3 linked regions of the Schizosaccharomyces pombe genome follow. The protein of the gene in region 1 interacts with the protein of each later gene in a pairwise test. Each region holds a gene or a part of one and is shown on either strand. Other genes may lie near its edges.

The links.
Region 2: the proteins of prr1 (region 1) and pcf11 interact in a two-hybrid assay, tested with the Schizosaccharomyces pombe proteins (one large-scale study listed by BioGRID).
Region 3: the proteins of prr1 (region 1) and eap1 interact in a two-hybrid assay, tested with the Schizosaccharomyces pombe proteins (one large-scale study listed by BioGRID).

Annotation. Positions count from the first base shown.
Region 1 is NC_003424.3:3,664,303-3,669,588, forward strand, and holds prr1 (stress-responsive DNA-binding transcription factor Prr1), read left to right. Parts: upstream 1-1,629; 5' UTR 1,630-1,704; coding exon 1,705-1,734; intron 1,735-1,831; coding exon 1,832-1,921; intron 1,922-2,677; coding exon 2,678-2,757; intron 2,758-2,810; coding exon 2,811-2,868; intron 2,869-3,011; coding exon 3,012-4,373; 3' UTR 4,374-4,785; downstream 4,786-5,286. Other genes in the region: translation initiation factor eIF2B epsilon subunit tif225, read right to left, coding at 5,003-5,286. UniProt on the Schizosaccharomyces pombe protein: Involved in oxidative stress. Transcription factor that acts upon trr1 and ctt1.
Region 2 is NC_003424.3:2,255,127-2,260,845, reverse strand, and holds pcf11 (cleavage and polyadenylation specificity factor), read left to right. Parts: upstream 1-1,659; 5' UTR 1,660-2,024; coding exon 2,025-2,174; intron 2,175-2,222; coding exon 2,223-3,989; 3' UTR 3,990-4,248; coding exon of another isoform or gene 4,249-4,911; 3' UTR 4,912-5,169; downstream 5,170-5,719. Other genes in the region: mpf1 (meiotic PUF family protein 1), read right to left, coding at 1-67, 139-903; adenylate kinase Adk1, read right to left, coding at 4,249-4,911; ribonuclease H2 complex subunit Rnh201, read right to left, coding at 5,278-5,719.
Region 3 is NC_003421.2:746,974-752,193, reverse strand, and holds eap1 (eIF4E-associated protein Eap1), read right to left. Parts: upstream 3,464-5,220; 5' UTR 3,383-3,463; coding exon 3,288-3,382; intron 3,240-3,287; exon of another isoform or gene 3,205-3,239; coding exon 3,145-3,204; exon of another isoform or gene 3,035-3,144; coding exon 2,982-3,034; intron 2,903-2,981; exon of another isoform or gene 2,716-2,902; coding exon 1,430-2,715; 3' UTR 551-1,429; downstream 1-550. Other genes in the region: proteasome maturation factor Ump1, read left to right, coding at 3,664-3,897, 4,002-4,157; ribosome biogenesis protein Urb1, read right to left, coding at 4,442-5,220.

The DNA.
Region 1 (5,286 bases):
AATTACTTTTAGGGCACCCCTTATCCTTGCTATGTTAAATCTGTCATGGATGTAATGCTATTGCTATTGCTATTGCTATTGCCAGTGTAATAATAAACCGCGGAGCTGAGTCAGCACTAATAGCGTCATACCCTTATCTCTGCACTTATCGTATCGCTCGCCATCTTTTTTATAATTTTACGAGCGGAGAAATTTTTTGATGCAAAAGATATTTAACGAATCAATACATTGTCTTCTAATCCAATAACTACGTATTCTAAGGATGAATACTTTATAATGGGATTCTATGAGAATATTTATTTCGTTTATATAATCTTATGAAGCATTTCAAATAAGCATAACATGTATCTATTCTCTTGTTCGAAAACCGAGCCAAGGGATCAGGGGTCATTTCTAATGAATCAGGGGACTTCTTTTTCTTTCTCAATTCTTATTTTGTTTCCCTTTGTTGATAATGTAAAAGCCTCGTTTAATTGAGTACAATCAGCAAGTGAGGAATCGGTTTATTTCGCTTTCCTTTTCATAGAAAAAGGGACTCGTCCATCAATGTCCTGGCGTCGTTTATTCAAACTTTGTCATTCGGTGCTTTTTAACAGGCAATTTCCGCTTTTGCTGGTCGATCTGTATGCGTCAAAAGTTTTGTCTGGTCCGGCATCACACGATGTTGACAAAAAAATCATCATCCACTGCAAGGTGTAGTGGGTACACAAAGTTGGGTGTGTATTCCCAAATTCCAATGCATTTTTATAATATGCGATAAGCTCCCATAGCTAATCACTTGTCCTTTAACGTTGAAACTACTGTACACAAAGGTAGACCGCAGCACACACACTTGAGCATTCAAAGTAAGAGCGTCTGCTGGATATTCTTATAGCAAGGTCAATTGTGTTGAATGCATAAAGAGCATCTCTTTTCTGAATGGTTCAACGAGCATATTGCACAGTGGATTCCAATAAAAAAAATAAAGGAAACGTAAACGATCGAAAAAAAAATGCTTTTTAAAAAATCCCGTGTCAGCGTTTATACCAAGGAAATATCGCATAGTGATCCTTTTGCTCTACATACTCCACGCATGCACCATCGATACACTACCAAGAACCGCAGCAACTCAGCCTTATTACTGTGTCATCCATCCCATGTGTTTATTCTTGCTGTGCCCACAGCACGCTTGCACAAACGTATGTGGGACGGTCGTTACGTCTGCGATGATGACTGCCTAGGGAGCCCCGCGCGCTTTAGCCGGTTCAGGAAGAGTTTGGGATAATGCAGTACGATGGTATGCACTATACTAGATTTAACTTTGCAACGTTTCGCAATCGGTGAACAGCATCATCAAGTCAAATCAAGCACCGTAAAGGAGAGAGATCAGTACGAAAGATCCCTTTTCTGGAGGGTAGTGAAAAAGACAGTAATATGCGGGTTTCGCATTGTTTTTGAGGGTTCATTAATTGAGAAGTTTTTGCTGCAATTAACGTTAAAAAATATGTCGAATTTGCATTGCCGATCTCCTGCCGTTCATCGTTTAACCAACGTTGCGTAAGCTAACACGCCCTTGTGAGCATCGGCAAATAGCCACATGGAAGCCTCGAGGGTGTCATATCCACCACACCTCAAAATTTGCAACTCTCCAACAACCAACAACATTGTTGAAAAGGTGAAGATTTTTTGTAAATACGACCGTTTGGTCATATATTAAACGAGAAGATGCCGTCTTCGAACGGATCCTCCGACTTTGTATGTTGGTTCCTTTTTCCGATGAATTTTTTATAATTATAAAATTTCACGTTTCGTGATAAAACTATGTTTTCTCATACTAACGTTGTTGAATTAGGTGCGAAAACTCTTCAACATGTTGGAAGAACCCGAATATAGGCATATCCTGCGCTGGAGCGATTCTGGGGATTCTTTTATTGTGTTGGATGTAAGAAATCCTTGAAAATTTGTTTGCTGGATGTAAAAGAGAGAAGAAAGGAAGAATGAGTTATCATTATATTTATCGCCGCCATTGTTGTTATTTAACCAGAGAAAGCATTCTACTTTTATTGTTTATCCTCGAAAAGCTAGTAAAAGAGGGGAGATTTTTTTTGAAGGTTTGCTAAAAAATAATTTTTTTACTATTCTTGATTTGTTTCCTTTTTCTTTCTGATTACAACTTGAATTAAAAAGGATTGACAATGATGGGAAAGGAATCTTTTGAGGCAGCAAGAGATTCCTATCGCAACAATCGGGTTGTTTTATTACAAAAATCGCTTTTCTTTTTGAAATAAAACAATTCTATTCGTTGTTTTCTTTTTAGTATTACCAATGTTACGCTGAAAAACGTCCAGTTTGCCCGTAAACCTGAGTCGTCGAATTTGCTTTGTTTCCATACCCTAGTACTTTGTCCTTTTTTTTCGCATTGCATCTCGATTTTTTCGAACAGACTTATTCCTTGTCATCATCTTTTTTGAGTAATAGTTTTTACATCTCTTAGAGACCAATTTTATTTTTAGGCCTTACCTTCTTTTTAAACTTTGGCTTTTGACTAGCTATTCTTCTAGTCTTATGTTTTTTTTTCTCTTACGTTTGCATTTTTCTCCTTTCTTTGTCACTCTAATCTACTTTTCCGCATTCAAAATTCCTTTTTCCCCTTTCCCCTTTGTTTCCCTGAGTTTATCACTAACTTACTGCTTTTTAGACCAACGAGTTTACAAAGACCATTCTGCCTCGCCACTTCAAACATAGTAACTTTGCAAGTTTTGTCCGACAACTCAACAAGTATGAGATATTTTTATTTATTTATTTTTTTTTTACACTTGCTAATCGTCTAGATATGATTTTCACAAAGTACGGCACGAAGAAGGCGCGCCGAGTATATATGGTGAAGGGGTATGTCATATGGGTTAAGGATTTAGGGGCTTCATACTTGTTGAATAGGTTTGAGAAACAAACTTGTCTTCATTCCATCATACTTGTAAAAAAGCCATCCCTCCTTTTAGAATTTCTATTATACTAATCATTCTCTTCTTTAGGCTTGGGAGTTTCGTCATGACGACTTTCAGCTTCATCATAAGGACCTGCTCGACAATATTAAGCGAAAGGCTCCGTCCAAGCGCAATTTAGCTAACGAGAACACTGCTCCAGTTATTGAAAACCTAAAACAGCAGGTGGATTCTATATTAGACTTTCAAAAATTACTTGATAGAAATCTTTCGGGTCTTGCCACAAGTTACCAAACGATACTTCTTAAAATGTTTGAACTCAAGCGGGGGATTGAGTCTAGAGATTTGCTTATGAGTAGCATCATATCTTACCTCTGCGATTTAGAGGGATCTACTCAACGGCAAGCTAATCCCGGAGCCATGTTTGTTCCCTCTCATCCTCTCCAGGAGTTATTAAATGCATACCAAGCGTTAGCGAAGGGCCAAGTTGCAACTACTTCTCCACAACAGATACCAAATCAAATTCAACAGGCTTCCGCTGCTACTACCGCTTCTTCAAAGATGACTGTTGACACCAATCTTGGCACAGCACAACCTTCTTTGTATAATACTCCTTCATCTGATTATGAACTGGCAAATCAGGAAAAGCCGGCAGACTCCATGGCCTCTGCCGCCTCTCTAAATACCCCTTTATCATCTAATGACCATTCTTTGAATCCACACGCCCATGGCTCATATCCGATGTACGAAAAATTTCAACCGATTCAGCATCCAAATCCAGGAAGCTTTACCACCCATCTTGACTCCAATGCTTCCATGGCAAAGTCATTTTCTCAAATTTCAAACGATTCCCTTGCCAAAGCTAGTTCAGTAGCAACGTCCATGTCTCAAATGGGCGCTGCTGTTCCAACTACTGGCTTGTGGAAGCGGCAACCAAGGATTTTACTTGTCGAAGATGATGAACTTTCTCGTAGAATGACTATCAAATTTTTAACTTCATTTGATTGCCAGGTCGATGTAGCTGTCGATGGAATTGGTGCCGTAAATAAAGCTAATGCTGGTGGATTCGATCTCATCTTAATGGACTTTATACTTCCTAATTTGGATGGACTGTCTGTAACCTGTTTAATTCGTCAATACGATCATAACACACCGATTTTGGCTATAACTTCAAATATATCGATGAATGATGCAGTTACCTACTTTAATCATGGTGTAACAGATCTATTAGTTAAGCCATTTACAAAGTTGACTCTACTTCAACTTTTAAAAAAGCAACTTTTGAATCTTTTACAAGCGGATAACTCAATTAATATGTCTGATGTTCCCTCCACGAAAGAAGCTAAAGACGATAAGGCTCCTGTGACATTTTACTTAGAGAATGATGCTCCTATGTATCCTCAACAGATGTTACAGGATCCCATTCAAGCAGACTTACAGCATCCACATTGATGGAAAAGTCTTAATGTTATATATTTCTTATTTTTACTATCAGGTCTCTTTTACTTTTGTTTTATATAAAAAACTATCTATCACTTCTGTTTGATTTAGTTAAAGGTTTAATCTTTGGTCTATGTATCTATGTTCTCTTTGGGGTTCAAGTTAAGGCTTTCTTTTCGAAGAAAGGCTTTTCATATCCCATGACTAGTTGTTTAAATTCCACAAATTCCAAACAGTGTCGGAATTGTCTTTCATATCAACTACAACTAGAAACATGTACAGAAGAGACATAATCAATATAACTTTTCAGTTTTTGCATTGTATTTTAGCCACTATTTTCTTCGGTTTGCTCAAATTATATTATCTTCATTCGCTTGTTGTATTTCTTACATTTCAGCTAAAAATATTGAATTCGTCCAACTGATATTATCGTAAATAACTATGCGTGTAATTAACAGAATAGTGCTGGATTTTAACAACGCGCCCTGTAGACCAAAATTTTATTTTTCTTCTCTATCGTATTATTATTTGCTAGAAAATAATAGCCAGCTAAATTATGAGTGACCCTTTTTTTTTGAGTAGACAGAAACCACTTTCATAACACTGTTTTAAGTCAGAGTTCAGGATTTGTAAGGGAACTATTATTCTGACCCTTCTTCACTCTCGCTTTCACTTTCAGCAGTATTCAACCAGTCGACAAATTGTTTGCCACCGGCATCACGAAGCGCAGCCAATTCTCCTTCGCTAGAGCGGGGATCAGAATACCATTCTTGAATGGCATTCTCTTCAGCAATTTCTAATTGGTAGAAATATCCCAAAAGTTGTAAAAAGTGCCGAGTCATACTCAAACGGACACAGTACTTCTGCAGCGTTAATACGTTGTCAACTTGCTCTTCATGGCTAAATGTCAGTTTTGCAAGCAATG
Region 2 (5,719 bases), 1.4 Mb from region 1:
TAAGTTGCTGTTGCAGAGATAGTGAGGCTGCCTGATCATTTTGAAAGATAATTTGCTCTATCATAGCCTAAAAAAAGAATCATTAGCGAAAGGGAATTTCAATTACATTATGAAGCTTAAATTTGAAGAAAGACTTACCTTCCATTTGCTTATGGTTGCGCTGTACTGTAAAGTCTCTTTGCCAGAATGCACAGAGTTTTTTTCAAACGGCTCGGTTGTTCCATTAGGAAATTCATAAAATAGATTTTTATTTGTTGACTCTCCTGGATCCAAAATTTCATTACCCTTGCTTGCAAATGACATTGAGAACGGCGAAATAAAAGAATAACCGAGATCTATCGGGTCGATTGTTTCATTTTTACTCCATAAAGGAAACTGATCGGTATCATTTAATTTTTTAGGAACCACATTGTCTTTTGCGTCATCCAAGGATTTTGGATGAGTCGAAAAACAATTGTTGGTGCCATTGCTGTTTGTAAAAATTCCAGAAGACAAAGAGCAATTATTTTTGCTAACGGGAAATGTGTCCTTGTTTTTTAGATTACAATTTGTAAGATAGGGAGAAGGCTTTACGCAGGAAGAAGTGGTTGACGAAGTCAGATTTACTTCATTAGATAGCTCTACAGACAAAGTCTCAGGAAGTAACTTAAGCGCTGGCGTTCGTCGAAGAGTTAGGAAACTTTTTGGATTCATCTCATAAATCCTTTCTAATTCTCTTATTTGATCCTTCTTCTTCTGGACCTCTAGAGTAGATGACTCAATCTTTTTTTGCTGCTCCGAAACGAGAGTTTGGAGATAAAGAATTTGAGTAATCAATTTTTTAACATAGTTTACATCATTTGGTGTTTTTGGGAGTTCTAAAGACATTCCAAAGTCAATGGGTCTTTCCTCGTCTCTCTGCATACTTTGGGTATGCTCTTTTAAAAGGCAGAAAAATCAAACAGTAAAACCTAAATGCAAAACTAAATTAATTAAAAAGACTTACTGAGATCAAAAGAGAATTATCCAACTTCCCTTGCCTGGACAAAAAATATGCTTTGGGCGAATTCTGATTAAGGGATTGGAACTTTTGTTTACACTTTTTAAGTAAACAAACCACCAACATTCTTCACGTTCCCTTGCATACAACGAGCCAATACTTCCTTTGATAGTTTTCATAATATATTGATAAATTGATTTAGAATAATATGTATATACTTAACTTTTCCTTTTGTATGCAGCCTTCTTAGATATAAAAACTCAAGTTAGACTTTACTTCAAGAATGATTCATACAATTGAAAGTAATTTACTAAAAAAACATTTAATTTGTGTTTTATATTATCGGTTCCATTACTTTTAGATCTTTAATATCACGTCCCGACAAGAATTACTATCAGATTCACCTTAATAGAGTACGAGTTTCTTTGAATCGTAAACTTTCTAAAATTATGTTGAGGTATATTTACAGATAATCCATAAACCATGCATGCCGAAACTGTTATAAAAAAAAAAGCTAATAAGTTATAAGTTAATATTCTCGTCCATAACTTTAAATAGTACTATAAAAAGGTTAATACATTAATGGGTAAATTTAAATACGCTATTTGCATTAGCACGCTTCACCATATTTTGTAATCTGAGAATGATATACACACAATACATAACCTATTAGATGTATCACATACGAATAACTTCCTTACGAGCAACGCTGCCTTGTCCCATAGACTTCTCTTTAAAAGAAAGAGTTTCCTTTTATTGAAAAAGGATACTGATGCATTGAAAATATCCCAGTACTAATATATCGGGTGTTTTCTATTATCCTTAGTTTTTTGAGACTCTCACGATTACAATTTTGTTTTGTAGTCTGCGTGTGTGTGTTTAAAAAGTAAATATTTTATCATTGTGTACAATATTTTGTTTTAAAAGATATTTTTGAGAAAAGAAAACTTTGGTTTTGACAGTATCGGTTAGATAATTTATCATACTTGACTATAGCTAGATTTGTTTAGCTTTACATTATCCTAAACTCAGAAAAGAGAAGAAAATGGATTTAGTGGAATTGGATTACTTAAGTGCATTAGAAGATTTAACGTTTAACAGTAAACCTATCATCCATACTCTTACTTATATCGCGCAGGAGAATGAGCCTTATGCTATTAGCATCGTGAACGCCATTGAAAAACATATCCAAAAAGTATGATTTAACCTTGATTGAAACATATGTGCTAACTCTTATTTACAGTGCCCACCTAACTGTAAACTTCCAGCGCTTTACCTTTTAGATTCTATTTCTAAGAATTTAGGAGCTCCTTATACTTATTTTTTTGGCCTTCATCTTTTTTCGACATTTATGAGTGCATACACCGTAGTAGAACCCCGTCTGCGCTTAAAACTGGATCAATTATTAGCTACTTGGAAACAACGTCCACCGAATTCAAGTTCTTTGGAGCCCGTATTTTCCCCCATAGTTACAGCAAAAATTGAAAACGCATTACTAAAATACAAATCAACAATTTTGAGACATCAGAGCCCTTTACTTGCTAATACTTCAATTTCATCATTTTCTGCTCCTATTGACGCTAATATTAACTCCTACTCCTCATTTTCCGATCCGGCATCTTCGTACAAACCGTCTTTACCTTCTGTTCCATTTGGCTTTCAGCATATTTCGGGCACCAGTCCTTCTCCTGGATTTATTACACTGGACTCTCTTTTATCTGATGTTAACCGAATGATTGTTACAGAACAAGCTAGATTTATTAAAAATCCTTATGACAACATGGCTAAAAAGCGGTTTGAAATACTATTACAACTCAAAAATGTGCTGTCTTCTTCCGCACTACCTTATGACCAATTGCTGGCTATAAAAAACCAGCTGGCACAATTAGAGAAGCCGGCTTCTCCTTCAACGAGTTCTGTTGCTACGTCTGCTCCCTCCGTGCCTTCTGCATTATCATCTATTTCTTCGACTCCTTTTATGAAACCTTCTATTCCATCTACCATTCCTACAATTCCTTCTGCGTATTCGGCTTCTGTATCTTCGCAACCTCCACTCACTCATTCATATGTCCATCCAGGTCCTCAAAGTCACAAGTATTCGTTATCTTCAGGGCCGCCGGCATCCTTATACAACGCGAACGCGTTAACGCCTGAAGAATCGTCTAGTATAGATTCTCTTTTTGCTAATCTGCAAGCTGCAGGGTTGGTTCCGCCATCTGCTGGTGGTAAGTCTCAAGGTCCACAAGCTTCTTGTACTGAAGCTGTGTCTCTAACAGCAGACATTGACCTTTCTAAATCTTCGCTCGCTACTCCTCGGCCCAAGCTATCTTCTTTGTTATATGAGAATTATTCTAACCAATGCGCAAACTGTGGTAGGCGTTATGGAAATGATCCTGAAAGTAGAAAGGAGTTGGACAAACATTCAGATTGGCATTTTCGGATCAATAAGAGAATTCGTGAAAGTAGCCTTCATGGGATTAATCGCTGTTGGTTTGTGATGGAGGAAGAATGGGTCAATAGCAAAGAAGAGGAAGATTTAATTACAGAGACTGCTCAGGAAATCGAAGAACAGCGTCAAAAGCAAATGGAATCCGTTAGGTCACAATATGTATTGACACCCTTAGATCCAATTGCTGCGTCCGAGCCTTGTCCAATATGTCAAGAAAAATTCCAAAGTGTTTGGCATGAGGAAGCTGAAGTTTGGGTCTTTATGAATGCAGTCGAAGAGGAAGGCCGTATATTTCATGCGACTTGTTTGCAAGAAGTACGCCCGTCAGAAAACAAACATTCAAACACAAATACTAGTACACAAAATTTAGCGGAAGCAGCTGTTTCGTCTAATATTAAAAATGCTACGGGTGACGCTTCGAAGGACTCTCAACCTGATGTTCAAAATTTGTTACAAGGCATTGATATTCAAAGTATCCTTCAAGCACTTGGTAAACGCAAAGAGAGAGACGATTCAATGGATTCAATGTCTTCTAAAGTTATTAAACAAGAAAGCAAGTGAGTTTTGTTTTAACCTCATTTTTCTCGAGCTTTCGGATTTTAGCAATAAATTTGAATCATGTACATACAAAAAATATTTCTATATAATCAGCTAAAATATGAGTTTTACATACTGCTTATAGTAGTATAGCAAACTAAACAGTTTACCGAAAACTTTTGGGTTCAGAATATTCTATATTTATATCCTACGAACACTAGGCAAAAATATCTAAGTAATTGAAAAAGAAAGGGGCCCTTCAGCTCTAACCTAAAAAAAATACTTACTCAGCCTTCTCAAGAATAGCAACGATCTGCTCCCAAACTTGCTCAGGTTTTTGAGCAGCATCAACAGCAGCCCATTTACCCTTCTTTTTGTAAAACTCAACGACAGGAGTAGTTTGTTCGTGATAAGTGACCAAACGCTTGCGCAAAGCATCGGCGTTATCATCGGAACGTTGGATAAGAGGCTCGCCAGTAACATCGTCTTTCATAGGAACTTTAGGAGGATTAAATTCCAAGTGGTAGCTACGGCCAGATCCGGGATGGACGAGACGACCAGTGATACGTCTGACCAAAAGTTCATCATCAACTTGTAACTCAAGGACAGTATTCAAGTCAAGTTTGAGTTCATCAAGAAGAGCGGTAAGCTTTTCAGCTTGGACGACAGTACGGGGGAAACCGTCCAGGATGAAGCCGTTCTTGCACTCAGGATTGTTGAGGATCTCATCCTTGATCATACCAGTGACAATGTCATCGCTGACAAGACCACCCTGATCCATGATCTTCTTAGCTTCTTTACCGAGCTCAGTTTGACGAGCTACTTGAGAGCGCAACATGTCACCAGTAGCAAGATGGGCGATGCCATATTTCTTCTGAATGTTGGGGGCCTGAGTGCCTTTTCCAGCACCTGGAGGTCCAACTAAAATAAGTCTCATGCCAGCCATATTTGATCAAATTGGGTATCTATGCAAAAAAAAAACGAGATTCCACAACAAAGCGGTATTTGGTAGTAGTCTAAAATCGGACTGAGAAGTAAAAGAAGACCACCTAATTTTTATAATAGCGAACTTTAACAAGTCGTTATATTATTGTTGGTGCTAAACCAAACTCAATAAACAGAGCAGAAGCCTGGGGTAAATAGAACAATAAATTTATATTATTTTTATCTATAACCAAATGCTAATAAAGGTTTTCTACGTAGCTCCAAAAGCACGAAGCAATGCAATTAATGATTTTAAGCATAAATGTAAATTCGTATCACTCTCACAATTAGTCTTAGGCAAAAGTAGTGACAGAGTATAGTAACTAAACTAAAAATAAAACTCTGATCCAAACCACGAACGAGAAGCCGGATTCGGTTTCTTTTTCTGTGTAAAGTTCAAAGTAGGAGTATCGTCATCTTCGTGCCAATCTATTTCAATCGAAGACTGTGATTTGGAAGGTAATTCTAGTAAATCCTTAGCGGTTTTCCATGAATATCTAACTATGTCTCCCTTCCATCCGAAAATTTTATCGACATTTACTTTTAACCACTCGGTAGTTCGAGCGTCAGAAGAATATCCAGAACCCCAGTTCTCAGTTCGAATACTTTCACGAGCGCATTCCAGTTGAATATCTCTAGTAACTTTAGCACAGATAGAAGCTAAACTCACGATGGGAAAAAGGGAATCTGCTTTTTTAGTGACAGTGACTTTCGCTTGAGGAAAATGAGCTTGTAATTTTTCCTGGTATGATATTGGAGGTCCTACTGTA
Region 3 (5,220 bases), on another chromosome or scaffold:
AGTTTTTGTGAAATCAAATTTATATATAATGGATAAAGGTGATCGCATCTAACATTCTTGGTTTACGAGTTATACACACTTATATATAAATATATATTTTTTTTTGTCGAAACGCAACTTTCAATCCTGCCTTAATTATCACTTTACACAATTAATTCTGTGCTAAAATTTTATAAGATTAATAGGAGTAAACGTGGGTGCATTTATAGAGCCTTTATCTCTGCTGTCTATAGTTTGTTTGATTCATACATAGATTTACCCAAATTCATAGGTGTAAATGTCCAAAAATAATTGTAATCCTTGCAATACGCCTTATCACTTATATGTTTTCATATTACTTTGAAGATAGTTTTGCACTTTGTAAAAAATATACTGGAAAAGATCTAGCGATGTATATTCCCATTTAAACAACTCTTTTATTCTATCGGTTGAAAATACCATCTCTTTTATGACGCTTAGTCAAAGTGAAGCCAATTATTAAAAAAATAAATATGAATTAAGAAAATAATATATATTCCTACAAAAACCCCAATCTCACATCTAAACATTAGGAAAATGTGATTTGATTAGTACGCATTAATTACAAACATAAACGTGAAAAACAACCTTTCATTATTTTTCGGCTAGCAGTATCACTTTGTCTAAAAATTTAGAGATGCTTTCTCTAGTTCGTATATCCAAAAGATAACAGTTTGGCTAGAGTAGAATTCTCGTAAAGAACTAAGTTTTCAACACATTGATTCTCGAAAAGATGTAATTTTTTAAAGAGCACACATCCATAAAAACACATGTTCACAAAAATTTTAGTAAAACATTGCCGGGAAACCAATGACTGTAGATTAGCAGCAACCAAAATTCCAGCAGCTAGCCAAACAATTGATCAGATCCATGCTTTAACATTTATAATACTTTTGAGAAGTGGAATTTTTTTAGTTCTATCTATCATGAACTGTTTTGTCTATACCTTGGTATGACACAAGTTCCCAAAACTGCGTATAACCAAAATACTCATCTTAATCACATACTTTAGACTCATGAACTAAAACATCCGATTAATCCTATTTTATAAACTGACCTAACGACTCCTAAAAATTATCTTCATAAACGGTTAATTAAAAATCCTTCTGTCCCATTTTACGCAGTATCCATTCATCAAATGACGATGTTGCAGTATATTCTGAAAACCACAAGGAGATTCTAAAAAAAGCCATATGTACTAATTAATTCACATATTAAAAATTCCTAAAACAAGGAAAAATCGTTCAAAGGTCTCCGGTTTATATCAGAAATCATAAAGCAAAGTCTATGTTAAGGAGTTTACCGACATTGCAGACGGAATAACAACTGCGCAGAGCATACATGCATACACACCCACTACTATAGTCAAATGAGAAACTTCATCACACCGTCGTGCTAAGGACACTGTTTTTTAATGTGGTGGTCTAGAAGTATCTGGAAATCCATAACCAGTTCGATTTTGATTATAAGCAGATGGAGGAAATCCAGGGGAATATGGGAAAGATGGTTGTTGATATCCGAAACCTGGGGGTGCCGATGGAATAGAAGCTCCAGAGGACAGACCACGGTACAAACCTGGAGGGGCTGAAATTTCCGGAGATTTAACTGCTTTAGGAGCATTCGTAGAAAAGCCGGGAGGCGGAGGGACTGATCGAGTATCAGAAGTCATAAGAGATCGAAAGAAGGAAGAATCATCATTAGAAAAGTTGTGATTACCTAAACCAGGAGGAGGAGCAACTGCAGACGGAGGTGAAAACCCAGAAGGTTGCTTTACCGAGGCAAGGTCTTGATTGGAAGGGTTGACATTAACTTGAGGCATTTGTGACAAAGCAACCTTAGGAGAGCCTGTCGTGCTTGATGCTTGTCTGCCAAGCATAGCTAAGACGCGTTGAAATCCTTCGGCGTCTTTGTCAATTGTAGCAGAACCTATAGTAGGAATAGGAGCAGGAGAAACAACGGTATTTGCAACTCGAGGAGATGGGTTATTTGACATATTTGGTGTAGAAGTCTTAGAAGTTTCAGGGCCAGCCAGTCCGTTAAAAAACTTGCTAAACCTCGAAGAAGTGGTTGTGCTGGGTGCGGCATGTACCATGGATTCAACTGTAAGGGCCGGAGAAGCAAAGCGAGGAGGGGTACCACCAGGTGTACTGACAGAGGGTACGACAGTAGCCATCGCTTGGGCAGCGGAGCGTTTTCCAAACAGAGAATCAACACTAATGCCAGCTCTAGCAGAGGTTGAAGAATTAGAGGCAGCTCTAGAAAGCGAAGCTTTTCCTGAAGGGGCTCCAGTGGTGGAAGTGACGCCGGGTGTTATAACATTACCTGCTCCAGCTTCTCCAGAGGATGCCTTCATCATACGCTTCCATGCTTCAAATTCCTCAGTAGAATTTGCAACAAGTGGGCCAGTATTACCAGCCCTTTGTTTCATCACCTTCTCAAGCCCCTCCATCTCATCACGATGTTCATTGTCTTTCTTGCGATTATGTCGTCCTACACTACTCCATGGTGCAGTAGAACCGGAATGACCAATGGATGACGACCGCGATACAGAAGCGCCATTTCGATAACGGAGAGAGGCTACACCGTTATACACATTTCCCAAAGAAAGCAAATCATCATGGCGACCGACAGACCTGCCATTCTCATTACTGCTAGCAAAACTAAGTTTCGGTGGCCCAAGAATAATATCGTCGTGTTCTAGAAACGTTAGTAAGGATTTCAACAAAGAGACGGAATCTATCGACAATGTCAAGGAAGCAACGTCAAAAACACGAATTCCACATCGACCTCATATCTGATGCAGAAAAAGGTAGAATGGATTCACATTATAATCAATCCTGTAGTAAACAACCATATGACATTTTTGCCGCATCTTTTTGAACGTGCATTGTAAGGATTCATAGTCAATACAGACAATTTTTTATGTTAACAGTCGACAGAAAATAGTAAACAAAATGACTTACTTGATTTAGCGAATTTACGATCTGACTGATATTGTCGTCCATCATCATCATGTCTATACAAAAATTTGTTAGTATAAAATCTCTAAAGAACTTATGAAGTGCAAATAAAGAACTAAAATCAATTTGTGTCGCGAAATTCACAGTATTCATATTTCTGCCCTACCTTTTCATTTCCTTTTCTTGGCGAATGTGCCGTTCACGATCTGCCTTCATAGCCTCCGGACTGTAAAACGTTAGCCAATATTCCATACTTTGGTTCTCGAAGGTGTTTTCATCAACCAAGATTATTTAGCATCCCTAACTTACAGAATCCATTCAGGCAGATTTTCTGGTTTTTTTATGAGCGGCGATTTTGATAGATATAGCAAATCTGCTTCTGAATATTGAATAACCTGCGACATCTTATCGCCTTTTTTGGAACGAGTTAATACCAATTGTGATGGTTTTTTGTGTTATTTTAATATGGTGGTAGTGGTTAAGTTGGCTCCATCTTGCTAGTAATCGCATGCAAGCTTAGTATGTCCTCCATAGTAAGGGTAAAACACTTCAATCTTAGTCGTAACAGGTAACATAGATGCAAGGTAACGATAGGCTTACGAGAGAGGATTCACTATTGTAGAAACTCATCCTAAACCACATATACTCGACAAAGTAGAGAATTGAAGGATCTCACAGATTTATAATGAAGATTGTTCCTGACGTCGAACCAGCTGCTGAAGTATCTGGAAACTTCAAAGTCTCAGTTTTAGAGCCCAGCATTCCAGCTGTACACCGTGTTGAAAATAAACATCCTCTAGAAAGTCGATTAAAGAATTGGGAGGCTCAACAGCAACAAATTCGCCTTGATAGCATGCGTAGAATTTACGGTTTGCATGAGCCTGTGCGTCGTGAAATGGAACAGAAACTCGCTTCACAGGTAGGTTATTAATGTATAGACTAATATAGTGCTATATTTACTTATTGTTGCACTTATATCTTCCCCCTCTTTTTTTTTCTTTAGTTTTACTGACTCAAGCATAGAGCTCTCGTCCTTTGGCTTTAGGAGGATCTGCAAACTTTCATTTAGATATTCTTGCCAATCGTGAGGCTGTCCTAGACGAAACCGACATATATGCTGCCCCTATTCCTTTGGAAATGACTTATCAAAATGAAATGGCCATTAGATATGGTCTCTAAATTTTTATGTGCATGAAACTTCTCTTCCTTCCCTTGACTTCATCTTTTTTTCTTGAACAACAAATTTTTCATACGATGTGCGCGTTCTACGAATGTCAACTCAATCGCAGATATTTTTACATTTATTAGAATTTTAGTCGAGATACGAAATTACAAGTTATCATCGTGCCGCTATTAATGAATTATTATTTCCTTCTCTAACCTTTCAACCCCGCAAATCCCATAATTTTAGTTAGCTAAATTTTAGCAGCCAAAAATTTTTTCTTTTATTCTCTTTTCCCTTTTTACGTGGTCGATACTACGGTATTTTCCTTTGTTTCTTGAAAACTTGGTATGACCATTTGTAGCATAGGGTATATTGCATTGTATTTAACCAACATTGGGCCTCCTCCCAATGCCACAACCTTGAGCAATATTTTTTCGATTAGTGTTCGGATTTCACTGTTGACTACACATGAGTTGTATAAAGTACATATCATTTCAAATACGTGTCGTCGAAGATATATTTTTAAATCCTGATTTGTTTGTAAACCAGCATGTAATAGAGTCAGTAGCCAGTAAACACTTTTGGTGTAATCTGTTGATGGATAAAGTAATTCATAGTACATCGGTATATCTGTAACATCAACATGTTGACGTTGCAGGTAATAACGATTAATTCCTACAAATAATGGATGTGTCGGTTTCATCATGACGGTCAAGCTGAAAGCATAAAAGTTAGCCATTAACGTGCTCAACCGATTTTCTGAAGAAGGTACATTCACAATTATACTAGCAAGTACTAGTTTAATTAAATGCTTTTCTCTAAATTTTTGTTCGTCCAGAATGGGTATAAAATTTCGTAGGAAATTAAGACAAGCAAAGCGTGCTTCTTCTTTAAAAAGAGAAAGCCCCATTACTATCATACCGAGGAAGTTTTGTTGTACAATAACTTGAATGTTAGAAACCTGCTGATTCGAATGAAGAAGGGATGCCGTTATACCAAGAGCATATAGTGGATGATAGACTTCTCTATTCCATTCATTACTACAGTAACTAGAAAGGAGCCCTTCGGTAGTTTCCA